Linked DNA regions of Struthio camelus. The protein of the gene in region 1 binds, or shares a complex with, the protein of each later gene. Links are inferred from orthologs where the notes say so. Each region holds a gene or a part of one and is shown on either strand. Other genes may lie near its edges.

What was found.
Region 2: GINS1 (region 1) and MCM5 share a complex: the UniProt entries of both Homo sapiens proteins name them as parts of the CMG helicase complex. The link is inferred for Struthio camelus from reciprocal best matches to the Homo sapiens genes GINS1 and MCM5.

What each region holds. Positions count from the first base shown.
Region 1 is NC_090944.1:139,909,547-139,917,475, forward strand, and holds the start of GINS1 (DNA replication complex GINS protein PSF1), read right to left. Parts: upstream 3,001-7,929; 5' UTR 2,949-3,000; coding exon 2,874-2,948; intron 2,798-2,873; coding exon 2,733-2,797; intron 2,621-2,732; coding exon 2,525-2,620; intron 2,210-2,524; coding exon 2,119-2,209; intron 2,015-2,118; coding exon of another isoform or gene 1,817-2,014; exon of another isoform or gene 1,608-1,816; intron 1,346-1,607; coding exon 1,229-1,345; intron 366-1,228; coding exon 291-365; intron 18-290; coding exon 1-17. UniProt on the Homo sapiens protein: Required for correct functioning of the GINS complex, a complex that plays an essential role in the initiation of DNA replication, and progression of DNA replication forks.
Region 2 is NC_090942.1:59,823,538-59,830,378, reverse strand, and holds the start of MCM5 (DNA replication licensing factor MCM5), read left to right. Parts: upstream 1-3,826; 5' UTR 3,827-4,008; exon of another isoform or gene 4,009-4,082; intron 4,083-4,346; 5' UTR 4,347-4,361; coding exon 4,362-4,528; intron 4,529-5,510; coding exon 5,511-5,637; intron 5,638-5,750; coding exon 5,751-5,879; intron 5,880-6,326; coding exon 6,327-6,499; intron 6,500-6,841. Other genes in the region: HMOX1 (heme oxygenase 1), read left to right, coding at 86-222. UniProt on the Homo sapiens protein: Acts as a component of the MCM2-7 complex (MCM complex) which is the replicative helicase essential for 'once per cell cycle' DNA replication initiation and elongation in eukaryotic cells.

The DNA.
Region 1 (7,929 bases):
CAGCGGGGTAAAAAATGCTGCACAAGAACACAGACAAACTTTCCCTGAGACCCAGGCCGCCTGGATGCGTTGCTGCAGGCGGCCTGCTCTGTGCTGCGCCGCCGTGTGTAGCAGTACGAGGTCAAACAGCGGTCCTGGGGCACGCAGGCGGCTTGCAGCGCGTGCGAGGCGCTGGGTGCAGCAACTGCAACGTGCTGCGAAGCTGGGATGAGCAGGGGAGCGTCACAGGAGCGCAGGGGAAGAGAAGGAGCAGGAAAGGGGTTAGGACCCCGCTCGGTTGTCTTTCGTACCTGGCTATTCTTCTTCAGCAGGACGGTGGTGCCATCATCAATCTCAAATTCGCCGTAGTCTTTTAAGCACCGCACCTGCAAAGGCAAAGGGCAGCTCTCTGCAGCAGCAGCTCTCCGACTGAGGAGCACGTCGCTGCCGACGTATCGCACACGCCCCCAAACTGTAAGTACGGGGCCGTTCCTGCCCGCCTGGCAGAGCCTCCGTCTGGGACAGGCACCTGAAACGCAAAACCAGATGGATCCCGTGGCCTGTTCCCTCTATCTGACCTTCTCTTCCTGCACCTGCCTGCCAGCGGGCAGCCCAGGCCCTCCACGGAGGCTGCTGGAAGAGCAGCGCTGCCAGGAGAGGCCCCCCCCACGCATGCCAGAAAATGCCAGGCTGTGAACGCCAGTGAAACCGTCTTCAGGGGCAGGTTTAGTTCCCCTAGAAAGTCTCTTCCTAAGAGACCATCAGAACACAGCGCTGCAGCTCCTGCCTCCGAATCCGTTGTTCAGGTGCTCGTGCTCTCTTGCATCAATTGTATAAAACAACGCTTAGTCTCATCCATGAAAGTCCATTTAAAACAACAACAAAGGAAACTAGTTGACAATCTTCAAGATGGGAACGAGGTTTCTAGTTGATCCAAAGAGTTTTTCGGGAGACAAAATTCAGTTTTTGCAAGACAAATGCTGCATAAAGTTTTCACAGTAATTCAGACCCCCCCCCCCCCCACACACACACACACCGGTTCCCTGCAGGTTGGAAATGCCATGTTTCAACATACTTTGAGCTCTCAGAAGAAGAGAGAGTAAAACACTGGCGGGCAGAGTTTATCGAATGGCTTTGCTCAGTGAACTCCCCAGCTCGGGAGGAAGCCGAGATCTCTAAAGGAGAGTGGCTCGGTCAAGTGCCTCCCGCCACCCCCAACGCAGACAGAAGCCGCCAGTCCTGCACTTACTTCGATGTACAGGCTTTTAGGAGGCTTTATGTCCTGCGTAAGGTCCAGCCCCTCCTCTCCGCCTACTGACCTCATGTAGGTGGCCAGAGATTTTTTGTACCGGTTGAACCACTCCACCTGTGGACATTAACAGCAAACAGAGCTTTATTTCAAGAGGCGGTTTTAAGCCTTTAAAAACAAAACTGCCGCGTTATCACCCACAGATGCAAGATTCTGCTACAAAAATCCAGACTAGCAGGACCAAAGGGATTTGCGCTACTGGGACTAACCAGCAGGGATTCTGCCTAGGACCCAGGGGTCTGCCCTTGCCACTCTTGGGACAAAAGTGATTCTCTCAAGTTTAAGATTAAAGAAGAACCTTTACTGAGAGAGACATCTCCATGCCCCCGCATAGCTAATGCTGAGGGAGGAGGTCCATGATGAATCGGCTCTGGTGTATCTGTGCTGTCAGACCACTGTTCCCAGGCGTGCTCATGCCAGCCGAAGGAGCGCACAAGCTCTTCTAAAGGGAATAAACTGCCCCAGGCACAGGGCAGCCGGGGATCAGACTGGGACACGTGCTGGAAACAAGATCAGCAGCGCTGTACTTCAGTTTACAAATGGCGTTTGAGACGAGCACAGGGAGAGCCTGCCGCGCCGGGTGCGAGGGCGATCGGGTGACGACCTTCTGATCCCGAACGGTGCCAAGCTGCGCCTGCACTCAGCATCCGTTTGGGATTGCATCCTTGGAAGGACAATGAGGAAACAAACGGATACTTGCAGAAAGGCACACAAAACATCGTGCATCTAGAGTGGAAAAAAAAAGTCTATCCTATTTTGACTCGGCTAACCTGATGGTTTCTGGGGAGGAATAAGTGGAAGGGAGGGAAAAGGGGACAAGGCTGACTCACTTCCTCCGCTGACATGTGAAACTGGATGGCGTTTGGCAGGACGCTGCCATACTCCCACCTGAGAGCGCGGATCCGCAGCAACCGGTCGTACCTGGGGGAAGAAAGAAGGGACAGAGAGAGAGAGAGAGAGAGAGAGAGAGAGAGAGACCTCGCTCCAAGGTCTCTCTGCTGAGACCAGCGCTGGCACTACACCTGGGCAATGCAGACACTCGGATCACTCCTCAAAGCAAAGTGCAAAACCGGGGTCGTTCCACCCTCCTTCCTTTCAAGGCGGTGGTTTTGGATCTATTTGCTAATTAAAAGCTTTCAGAGAGCAGGGGGGAAAGAGGGATGCTCCATGCCCCCGACAGCTGCTCTCTGCCGAGGGGCTGAGCCGGAGCGCCCGGTCCGGCACTGCCGCACTCACAGGTAGGCCACGACGCAGCGCTGGTTTCGGAGCAGGCAGCAGTGGCGAAACCGGATGAGGAAGATGAGGTCCGTCCGCCCCGACTTCGCTTCGGACCTGGAGAAGGAGGCGGCACGTTACGGCGGGGCAGACGCCGCTCCCGGTGCCGCCGGGCGTGCGGGGCTCGCCGCGGCCCGGCGGCGGGCACGGCCCGCGGCCCGGCACTCACACGTCCGCCTGGTTCCGCTCGTACAGCGCCCGCATCTCCTCCAGCGCCTGCCGCAGCCCCTCCGCCTGCGGCACCGACACGGTCAGCCCGGGGCCCTCGGGACCCCCGGGATCCCGGCCCGCCCCGCGGCCCCCCGCTCACCCGGAAGGGCGGCAGGTGCCCGCCGGCGGCGCGGTGCAGCTCCCGCACCAGCCCCGCCGCCCGCTCGCCGGCCATGCTGCCGCGGCGCGCGCGGGCGCGGGAAACCGGCCCCGCGGCCCAGCCAATGGGGGCCGCGGGCGGCGTGACGCGCCCCCGGGGGGCGGAGCGTTGGCCCCGGCGGCACCGCGCAGACAGGCGCACGCGATGGGGGGAGAGGGGGGGGCGGTAGCCAGCGTTAGGACGTTCCGCCCCCGGGGAGCGCGTCACGCCGGCTCCCGCTCCGCCCCCGGCCCCCATTGGCTGCGGCGGGGCCGGTTTCCCGCGCGCGCGCCGGGGCGGGAGCGGCGGGCGGCTGCGGGTGAGCGGGGCCGGGGGCGCGGCCGGGGCCGGGGGCGAGGGCGGGCGGCGCTGTGCCCGCCGGGCCGCGGCCGCGGCCAGCCCGGCAGGGCGGCGGCGGGTAACGCTCGTTGTCGCCGCGGTGACGCAGGGGTGGGCTCCGCGGTCGCCCGCGGGCCTCTGCCCAGCTCCAGGCCGCCCTGCCGCGACCCTCGCAGCCCGCCCGGGGGGCGCTCCGCGACGGCGGGAGCTGGATGACGGCTGGACGCTGCTTGCGCTGCGGACCCCAGCGCTGGAAGCCAGGGAAAGGGGTGAGGAAGGAGCCCAGATTCCCCCTGCGGCTGGCCCTTTCTGCTGCTCTCTGAGGGCCGGAGCTGGGAGCTGCCCTTCAGCCGCCAGCGGCGGCGCGGCGTCCTCCAGCCCGGCCGGGGCTCGTGTGTGGGACACAGCGAGCTCTGTCGCCGGGGCGGCGGGGAAAGCACCCGCTGCCCTGGTGTCGGTGCTGCAGTGGTCTCCAGGATCTCTCTCCAGCCCCCTCATCTGTGGGGTCTCCTGGCTCGCTCTCCAGCCCGCCCGGAGGATGCGCCGGGACAGCAGGAGGAGGCAGCGGGATCGTGTCCGTGGCGCCGTTGGGGCCGGCCGGGGAAGCGGGATGGAGACGCCGCTGTCGCCCCTCGGTGGGGAGCAGAGCCTGGCGCAGCGGGTGAGCAGGGAGGACCCGGAGCCGCGGCAATCAGCAGGTCTGTGGGAGCGGGACGGCCCCGGTGCCGCGGTCGACGCGTGTGCGCGGTGCCGGAGCGCGGCTGGGCGGGACGCCCCTGCCGGGGGCTCGGCGTGGCCGAGAGCGGCTTTCCCAGCCGCTCGCCCCGGGCCGGCTGCGCCGCGGGGCCGGCAGCGCCGCTGGGGAGCCCGGGCTGTCACAGCCCGGCCGGGGGGCTGGAGCTGGGGCCGCTCGCCGCGGAGGGCTGCAAAGCCGCCTGCAGCGCAGCCCCGGCCCTGCTCGGGGAAGCGGGGCTTTTGTCCCTGCTGGTGAGAAGCGCGAGCGCGCCTTGATTTTGCGATTTTGCCGGGCTGCGCGCCCTGTGCTGCCAGGTCCTGGTGGCGGGTCCCTGGCCCCTGGCAGCGCCCTCCCTGCCCGCTGCCGGGAGCCGCCTCGTGGGACGCCGGCTGCCGCCGCCCAGAGGCGCTGAAGGCGCTTTCCAGCCCCAGGAGGAGCAGACTTGCGGGTCGCCTCGGCGCACCCCTCGCGGAGGAGCCGCGGCAGGACGCAGCCCGCGCTCGCTCCGCTTCTGGGAGCTGCGTCCCACCTGGCTGCGCTGCTGCGCCGGGGACAAGCGCAGTGGGACCGTGCACGGGCGCAGCCCGCTGCGGGGTTTTGGCTCTGGGAAATAAATACACACTGGAGCGGTGCAGCCCCCCCCCCAGCAGCAGCAGCAGCGCGACACTCGCTGTGTTCAATCCAGGGTTTGTTTATTTAGCCCCAGCGCCGCTCTCAGCAGGCCCCTTCCTCGCCCGCCCTCCGCAGCCCCTGCTCGGGGCGACCTGCCTGCGACTGGAGCCCGGCACCATCTGCGCACCCTTGGGCGGGGGGGGGAGGCCACCGTCGCTGCAGAGACCATCTCCAGGGACGAATCCTGCCCCGGCATCCCCTGATCCCAGGGTTTGGGACTTGGCAGCCCCAGGGATACAAATATCTCACTGCACCCCCCCCCCCCCCCCGGGCTTGGCCTCTTTCTTAAAGGCATTGGGTCAGTGCTGGCAGAGACTAAGTGAGGTGTGTGGGGACAAAAAATCAGCGAGGCTTTTTTGCCCCCCCACAGCTCACTTAGTCCCTGTTGCGGAGGGGGCGTAGGCTTGAACCAGGCCCAGGGTAGGCTGGGGAGGGGGGGCCAACACCCTTCCCTCAGCCTCTCCCGGGCTCGGGCTCAGCCCCCGCCCCCCTCCACAAAAAAAGCCTCGCTGATTTTTTGCCCCCCCACACCTCACTTAGTCTCTCCCTGCACCGGCCCCATTGCTCCCAAGGGGATTTCTCCTCCTCTTCAACCCACCCACCTCGTGCCCTGTGCGGGGGGGTGAGCGGAGCGCTGGCTCGGAGCAGAGAGACCCTGTTTTCCCCCAAAGTGAACCCGGCTGCTACTGTTGGGGCTGTATCCAGCAGGGCCGAGCCAGGTGCAGTCCTGGGGGACGCGGGTCCGAGGACCGGGAGCTGCTGCCGGGGCCGAGCTGGAAAGGTCGCGTCCTTGCTGCGCTGCTGCGCCCCGCAAACGCGGTGGGCTCCCCCTGGGTCTTTGCCTCCTGCCCAGTCCAGCTGTTCAGGCTGGAACAGCCCTTTCCAGGGGGGTGAACCCAGACATTGACCCGCGGACGCTTTGCTCCCTTCGGGACCTGAAGCCCCCCGGGGCCTGAGGCAGCCGGTGCTCGCCCCAGCGCCCCGGGGACCGGGCTCCGCAGCTGCTGAGGACGCGGGCTGGGCCAGAAAAGCTCTTCGCTGCGACGGCAGCCCTGGCGCCGAGGCTGCCGGGCCTGTGGGGTTGCTGCCGGGGGCCTGTCCCGGCTGTCTGGCTGACGGCACCGCGCGTGCTGCAAGGGAAATAAAACATGCGGAAAAATATATTAAACCAGCCATAAAAAGGGGATGTGCTGTAAAACGACCCGCTCGGGCCCACAGCTGCCAGCGGTTCATCTGCACAGCGATCCCAGCCTCAGGATAACGGAGAGGCCACGTGAGCAGGCAGCTCGCTGTCCCGCCTAGAGCCACCATCAGTTTACTGCCCCTTCCCATAGGGCAGGATTGGCGATAGGACCTGACTGCCTCCTTGAACAGCAAAGAAAGCGGTTGAAAAATACCTGGTCAGAAACGTATTTGCATACTCCACGGGCAGATCGCCGCCTCCTGCAGCGGAGCCGTTCCACTTTTCCTTCCCCGTCAAACGCTTCGTCGGCGTGCCTGGAGACGCCACACTGAGGGACCGTCACCGTAACCTCAGGGAGAAAAGAAATAATAAAGATAGATGTCTATCGGCCACGGGCCTTCATTCTGGCGCTGTTTACACGCACGCAGTCTAACTTATCGTTACAGCTGGCAGAGCCATTTTTCATGTAAGCACAACTGTAGACGCTTCCTTAAGGCCTTGCGGGGGCCGCGCGCCCCTCCTCTAGCCAGGTGCAGCGCTCACGCAGGCATCGCCTTCCCCACACCCGTGCCTCAGTGAAACGAGCAAATGAATTATTGCATTACTGCTCGGTATATTTCAGCAGTCCTTAAAATCCTCAGATGAAATGAGGCCAAGGTCACGGTCAGAAAGCATCGTCTCAGAAGAATCGCGCGACTTACCCGGACGAGGCTGGCGAAGAGCGGCACGATTACTGCCGCGCTCTCCCTTTTGCGGACGGGAAGCTCGAGTCCGGCTCCCCGTTGTTTCGGAGGAAAACATACAGAGTCCCCCGAGTGAGTTAGCGCCAGATGCTTCACCGCCACCAGGTCCACCCGCGGCCGGGGCAGCGCCGGGCCGGCCAGCAGCTCGGACCCAGCAGCTCCATAGGGGCGCTTACAGCCAAAACAGCCTTTTCAAACCGCCGATCCACATGCTGTTAGAAGCCCTTAGCCTAAAGCTGCCCAAGGTGACAGGCCCGTGTTAGCACGGTGGCCCCTGTCCCCAAGCCTTCCTTTCCGTCAGGGTATTTAGGCTGAAGAACAGGACTCGGAGGGGCAGCAGCAGCCCAGGGCGCACACCGAGAGGAGGGCAGCAGCCGCATGTTGTCCACGGCCAGCGAGTAAGGCGGCACTCACGGGCCCGAGCGGCAGCGACAGCGATTCGGGTTATAAATCAGGGAAGCCTGTCCAACAGCACCAAGCCAAATCTACTGCGGAGGGCTTACAGCCTCCCAAAGCAGCGTGTTTACAGCAGGCTCGACAGAGCTGTGCGTTGTCATGTAACACAGGGAGCTGGACTAGGTGACTTCTCCCTATTTTTTTGGTCTTAGGTTATTTTCTTCATATTTCATCAGAGAACAGGTTTATTCCCAGGTTGAGTCACCTACCACCAACCAAGCCCCAGACTCGCACGGGTGCCAAGCGGGTGCACGCCGGACAAGCAAGCAGAGAAGTTCGCTTCTGTCGGGCGAAGCGACTGCGCCTAGGCCAAAATAAGCACCCCGCGTCACCCGTTCACCCCCGGGCAAAACGAGTCGGGGGCCGCACGAGACCTCGCCGGTTTGTTCGAGCCTGAGCACGCACCACGAAGCGGACCCGCGGCTGTGCCCGCGGCCAGCCCCGGGGATACAGCCGCGGCAGTCGGGAGATAATCAGTGATTTTAAAACACAAAAAAAAATCAGCCAAGGGAAGCGCCCGCGCAGGAGATCTACGCGCTGGGCGAGCACCAGCCCACGGCAGCAACAGACGAAGCGCGAGAGCCGCGTCGATGCTAGCTGCCCGCACGGCGATGCAGGTATAAACGCCGTTCCCGGGGCTAAACCCGCCCTGCGGCTGCCGCAGCGCCCGGCGAGGGCACGGGTTCAGGCCTCTCGGCCGAGGCCGCGCTGCTTCGCTGTGCCTGCTGTGTATTTAATACGCCAGCCGCCCTCCCGCCCCCATGCCTGCCTCTGGCTGAACGTTACCTGGGGTTTAAGCACCCCGTTGCCCGAGCACTCGCACGCAGGAACTTGGTTCTCCCAACTGCGCTGCTGCATTGGGCAAGTTATGATCCCCTCCGCTTATTT
Region 2 (6,841 bases), on another chromosome or scaffold:
TCCATCACTGTGGAGGGCTAGCATGGCATACTGGCAGCCTCTTGCCTCATCCTGATCTCACCCACTTTTTTTCTATTTAATCTAGGTCCAGGGCCTGGGAAAGAAAGAGAGAAGACAAATATGAGACACACAGAAATGCTACCCACCACTCCCCTTGTGCGGTGGATCCTTGCACTCAGCTTCCTAGCCACAACAGTCGCCGTGGGCTTATTTGCCATGTGAACAAATAGAACCGTCACCTTCTCTTCATGCCTTCCCTCACCCTGAACTAATCCATCTTCCCCAGGCCTTCTGAGAGAAATTCTCCTTGGCTGGGTGCTGTGATCTTGGCTCTGTCACTAACATTAGGAGGCTTCTCTCCCCAGAAAGCAAAGAGAGTGCTAAGGGGGTTCAGGCAAAGTCTCTCCTGTGCTTGGTGTGAGCTATGCCAGAGACTAAATTTATCACCAGAACATAAGGGCAGAAAAGGCCTAAAAGCAGTGGCCAGGAATTGTCATTGTTTTATAGAACTCCTGCAAAAATCCTACAAAATCAGAAACGCAGGTTTGACATCATGTTTTGCCTCAGAAAGAAAAAGCTCCCCGGAGCCCTGTTTGCTCAATATTTTATATGGCTAGCTGATACTGTGATCACTATTTCTGTGGAGCCACATGGTTCCTCTGGGTTATAGACTGTTTTATATGACACTAGTAGGTTAAATCTTTTTCCAATCACTTTTGGTTTTTAAAAAGCAGAACACAGTTGTTGAAGATACAGTGTTGATCTTTTGTCTTGTTATATAATTTATATATATATATAAAATAAACATTAACGTAAAATCTTCAGGCCTGGTGTTTCCTATTGTTAAAGCCATATCCAGGGAGAATGGAGGTGCCTTTCTGCCTCTCAATTTTATGTCTGTTGGAGCTGCTGCCTCCACAGATATGACAATAGACAAAAGTGGGAGTTACCAGAACCAGACTCTGTTCCCACTCTGTTCTAACAATAACTTGTTGTACAAGCTCAGTCAGGTTTCTTAAGCTTCATAATGGTCTCTATTTCCAGAAATTGAATGAAATTCTGTGACTGTACAAAGTATCTTTAAGAGGTAGAAGCTAGACCTAAGAGTTAGCTGCTATTCTATTAAAAGGAAAAAGGTGACTGGGCTCCTGGCTGGTCTAAACTAGGGCTGTTGCCCCTGCCCTGTAGCAGCTAAGGGCCAGGTGCTGTTAATCATAGTGCCTTTCTGAGAACATCACCATGAACCAGAAAAAGAAGTATGTTCTCACCCCTCACAAACAAAATACATACTAGCTTTTCATCCTACAAGACATCAAAACCAGAGACATCAAGCATGTAACTGCATGTCCTCAACTAGGTAACAATCAAACCAAGCCAGCTTACTGCCAGAATTTGGCATGTACAAGGAGTTCCTAAAGACAGTACAAATAAGTAGCAGTGCTGGAGCAGTCCATGTGTACAGCTTTCTGTTTTCCCCTTTTGCTCACTCAAAACTGGAGGTGCGGCCAGCTGCTGTTATGGCCATAGGCCTTATCTGCTTATGAAGGTCTTCTAATACAGAAGTTAACTGCAGGAGCGGCTGCATCTTGAGTGTAACAGAGCAGATACTGACAAGGCCATTACCTTTCAGCTCAGAGTCCCTTCCCCCCTTTCTACCTGAGGAGCCTCTGTGATCAACCTGTCTTCATGATGCTGCCTGTTCTGGCTGTAGCCTTAATCCCAAAGGCATTTATTGCTACTGATCTGTATTAATGATCAGCACTTAACCTACTCAAAGAGCAAGAATCAGAAGGCAGGTCCTACAGAGAATAAACAGTGAGAAAGAGAGACTGTCATTATCATCAGGCTCTTGTCTATCCTATTTTTCTTGTAAAATCTCTTTTAATGCTTCTCTATTTGGACCCATTCACCGATCCCCAGAAAAAGAGAAAACAAGTTAATTGTTAAAAAGAGAGTCAAATGTGTGAAAAGCAGGGATATTAGGCTTGACAGCTATTCAAATCCTATAACTCATTTCATTCGTTCAAATTTATTTTAAGTTCCACCTACTCAGTCTCTCTAAGCCACCCCAACTAAATCATTATGTTCATTCAACCATGCTGAATAAATAAACCTCCCAAACATGCAAACAAATGCCCAAGAGCTCAGAAAATGCACTCTAGCACAATCAGCCCCCCGCTCTGCTGCCCTCAGAGACCATAGCTGTGACCTCAAAGTTAAGAAACTTGGATTCAAACTGACACCATCCCCCTTCCTGTTCATAGCAGAAGAGTATCATGCTCTGAGTTATCTCACAGCCACTGCCGTACCACACACAGAAGGATGCCAGACTGAGCTAAAGCAAGTCTTCAGAGGTGAACGCTAAAACTTTGCTTTGTACTAATCTATAAGCTCTATGAAAATATCTGGCTTCCCTACAGCATAGCTACAGCTGACAAGATTTCCACCCGGTGCTGTTAAAATCTCCCTTGCAACACACTATGCTTCCCAGCTCTGGTTTTCATTTGATATGTGCAGTACCCCACTTTCTAGGAGCTATAATGGTTTCCCAATGACAAGTCAGCTTTCCCCAAAAATTCAGTAGTAGTTAGCAGAAAAACATCCCAGAGGAAACGTATCCTAAAAAAACAGTCTGTTTATATGCGTATTTGGCTTGCTGTGTAAGTACTGTCTTCCCTATGGGACTCTGGGCAGTCCAACCACCTGCCATTCCCTTTTCCAGTATGTCCCAAAGCAAGGATGACTCCTTGCCAAATGGAGTGACTTGGACATGACTCATGTCCAAAGCACATGACCCCTCCCTTCCCCTCCCCTCCCCTCTCTCCCTTTTATGGACCTGTCACCTGAACTAAGGACTAGCCCTCATCCCCCTGTCCCGATGTCAGAGCTCGAGGGCAGGTTGCATCCCAGAAGAGCTGCCCCAAAAGGCAGGAGCACAAAAACAAATCTGGCCCATACAATCTTTGCAGAAAGGGCTCTGAACGCGCTCGGAGGCACCTCTCGCGGCTCAGTAGAGTGCTCCTCATCTGGCCTATGGTACCTGTCACTTCAGAACTGCAAAACAGTTGGGGCTGGCAGGAACCGTCTGGTCCAGCCCCCTGCTGAAGCAGGGTCACCTACAGCAGGTTACCCAGGACCGTGTCCAGCTGGTTTTGAGTATCTCCAAGGACGGAGACTCCACAGCCTCTCTGGGCAAATTAGCATTGATTAAACATTGTATGAACGCTAACTAATCCCCACAGATCTCTGTTATCCCCACTCTGCGGGCGTCAGAGGTGACCCCAGCGCTGCCCAAGGACACTAAAGGCTGCCACTGACCCGATGGGCTTCAGAGGCAGCTGTAGCCCCATTAAACTGCACCCCCCTCCATGTTTGGGGGGGGGGGGTTGGCCCGGGGCCAACACCTGGAGCGCCAAGCAGGGTGAAGAGCTGCCAGGCCCTCAGCTGAACACCTCCTGCCAACGCCTGTCAGCAACGAGCATCTAGGCAGGCAGGAAGGCTAGACAACCCAAGGTTTTCCCTGCCTCCGCCTCCAGCCTTGCGATAATCGCCGCTTTATTTTATTCGTGTCCATTAACGTCGTCACTCGACTCACGGCACGCAGGGACCCGCCCCGCCAGCCTCGCCTCTAGGCGCTCTCTCCCCCCCTCCCCGGCAGCTATGGTTTCGCCCGCCTTCCCCCCCCCTTCCCCCGCGCCGCCTGCAATAGTCCCGCCCGATCCGCCATTTTCCTCCCCTTTTCCCCTCCCTTTCTCTCCCAGTTTTCGCGCCAAATGCGCCCGGCCGAAAGGGGGCGGAGCGCTCGGCTGCGGCGGCGGCCTGGGCCGAAGGGGGCGGGGCGGCGAGGGAAAGGACGGCCAGGGCCAATCCGGGGCGGCGCGCTGCGGGCGGGCCAATTAGGAGCGTGCAGCAGCGGCGCGCTTGGGAGGGGGCGTGTGTCCGGTTTGTTAGCGCCGCGCGCTGCTTTTGCCGCGAAAAGTGGCGGGCCGGTTCCCGGGGAGCGGCGAGGTGCGGAGCCGGGCGGCGGGGGGGGGGGACGGACGAGTTGCGGTTGTCCCAGCACCAGCCGCTCCGGGTCTGGGGTCCGTCCCGCGGGCGGGGGCGAGGGGGCAGTTTGGGGGGTTATTGGCGCAGTCGGTGGGGCAGGGAGAGCAGCGCGGGGTGGGGGTGGGGAGAGTTTTTTGGGGGGGGTGGGCAGGTTGGGAGGAGTAATGGAGTCATGGATGGGGCAGGGGCTGCGGGACCGCGGTGTAGCAGGGAAGGCACCGGAGGGTGGGGACCCCCTGAGACATTTGGGGGGAGGAAGAGGCGGGCAGGGGGCTGACCGTGTCTTCCCACCCCTTCAGTGAATCGTGGTTGCCATGTCCGGCTTCGACGACCCCGGTATTTACTACAGCGACAGTTTTGGGGGTGACGTGTCGGCCGATGAAGGGCAGATTCGGAAGTCCCAGCTGCAGAAACGGTTCAAGGAGTTTCTACGGCAGTACCGGGTGGGCACGGACCGGACAGGCTTCACCTTCAAATACAGGTGCTGCTGTGACTTGTAGCAACCGCTCTTCTCTCTCTGTAGCCTTACTCACTCACTCCTCCTTGCACGTCCAATCCGCTCTTAACCTGCCTTCTGCTATGTAAGTCAAAAGGATACAGTAGCGTATTTTAGCTTGTTTCCTTCCTGTAGACCCCGAAGAGCTCTTTGTTAAGATAAGAAATGACATTGTTCCCATTTGAGCTTATGGGAAAACTGAGGTTTGGCATTCTCCCAAATTCTTAGGCGGTAGTCTGGTCTACAGTGGCAGAGGTAGGAATAGCGGGATCTGCATCGTCGAACTTGCACTTAGATCAGAATTTCAAGGTCTGTTTTCAAGTTTTAGTGCTTCCTGGTCCAGAGTTTTGGTCTGATCGGGAGTATTAAAATTGGTAAAGCACTGTTCGCTTATGCCCTCTGAGGCTCTGAAGGTCCCTTGGCTATCATTTTGCCTATGCAACTTGGAGAGACTACGGAGAGAGAAGATGGAGACATATCATGCAAGGGTCAGGGAAATCTTTCACCTTTCATGTCTGAATTTCTTGCACCCTAGTTTTTATAAGGGGAATATTGCCTGCTATGCTATTACATCCTGTTTTTTAGAATCGCAGTTTAGGTACAATAGACATTCTGTATAGGAGTTCCTGAATTGCACATCTGATATTGTGATTCTAGAATTAAAGTATTAGCACTAAATTTACACTGTCACTGCAAGCACTAGTGTTCCTGGTCTTGTGTCACATTTCAGAGAGTATTTGGATGAAAGATTTGCCCAGGACCCCCTTGGCTTCTCTTAGAGCTCTCCCTATTTTCCCAATTTAAGGAAATTGGGAATTTCCCAATTTTCCAAACTAAGGACTCCATGCAGAACCTGCCTTCTCTTCTCCCTGTTTAGTGACAGGGTCATTGTGGAATGGTGGCTGGACACGTTTGTTAAGATTAGTGCTTTCTGCTCTGCAAGCATTTACTACCTACTGCCTTGCAGGGATGAGCTTAAACGGCACTATAACCTGGGTCAGTATTGGATTGAGGTGGAGATGGAAGACTTAGCCAGCTTTGATGAAGATCTTGCTGACTATCTGTACAAGCAACCAGCGGAGCACCTTCAGCTGGTAAGGATGGAGGGAATGGGAGATCTGGTGCGCTGACATTCAGTCATGTAACGAGAGCAGTCCTGATATTACACTGTAGTATGTCAGTAATAGCCTAGTTATTCCCTTTGTAGTTGGAAGAAGCAGCAAAAGAAGTTGCAGATGAGGTCACCCGTCCTCGTCCTTCAGGTGAAGAAACTCTGCAAGACATCCAGGTCATGCTGAGATCAGATGCCAATGCAGCCAACATCCGCAGTTTGAAGGTGAGGTGAATCTAGCTGCTCTGTGGAGAAACAGGTGGCAGGGCTTGCTCGTGAGAGGGAGGGATTGCTGAGGGAACTTTAAGTACTTGATTATTTACTTCAGGACACGAGTTGTTCACTAATTTACGCACAGGAATATAATGCGTCTTACATCTGACTGCACAGGGTTATTTTGATTGGTTCCTGCTTTGGGGACGTTACTGCTGTTAGGGGTGTTCTAGGTGTAGTGTTTTATCCTCTTACCTCTCTTGCTTTGAAGGCAGAGTAGTTAAAGCCATGCGACCTTCCCCTGCTACTATAGAGCAAGAGTATGGAGTTGTCAAGAAGTGTAAACTTCTTTTATTCTGGTACCCCCATGTTTCTTTAACATCTTGTATCATGGTTAAATTTCTTGTCAGTCTTCCAGCAATGTGCTTTCTCACCTTCCCTTCACCTTTTCCCTTTCAGTCTGACCAGATGTCCCACCTTGTGAAGATCCCTGGGATTATAATTGCAGCAACACCTGTGAGAGCCAAAGCCACCAAAATAGCTATCCAGTGCCGCAGCTGCCGTAACACCATCAGCAACATTGCTGTGCGCCCAGGCTTGGAAGGTTATGCCCTGCCCAGGAAATGCAACACGTAAGGACTGGAATGGAGATGAATCTGCCAGGGTAGTGGGACAAAAGACTCTGTCGTCTTCTTCCCCTTCATCCCATGCATGCTGCATGGAGTCAGCAACCTGTCCCACAAGGTGGAAGTGTCTGCACCGCTCTGAGCCTCTACCTTCCAGTTGCCCTAGTGCCTGCACCCATCCTTGGCCAGTAGCTTTTAGCTCTGTTCATCTAGGAGTAACCTTGATCATGGATGTTCTGTGACCACTGTTGCAAGCGGGGTTGAAAAAGCTGGTTGAAAAAGCTTCTTCCTCTAGACCTGCATTTCCATTGCTTTCAGCGTCTGCTCTTCCCTATTGCTGCAGACACA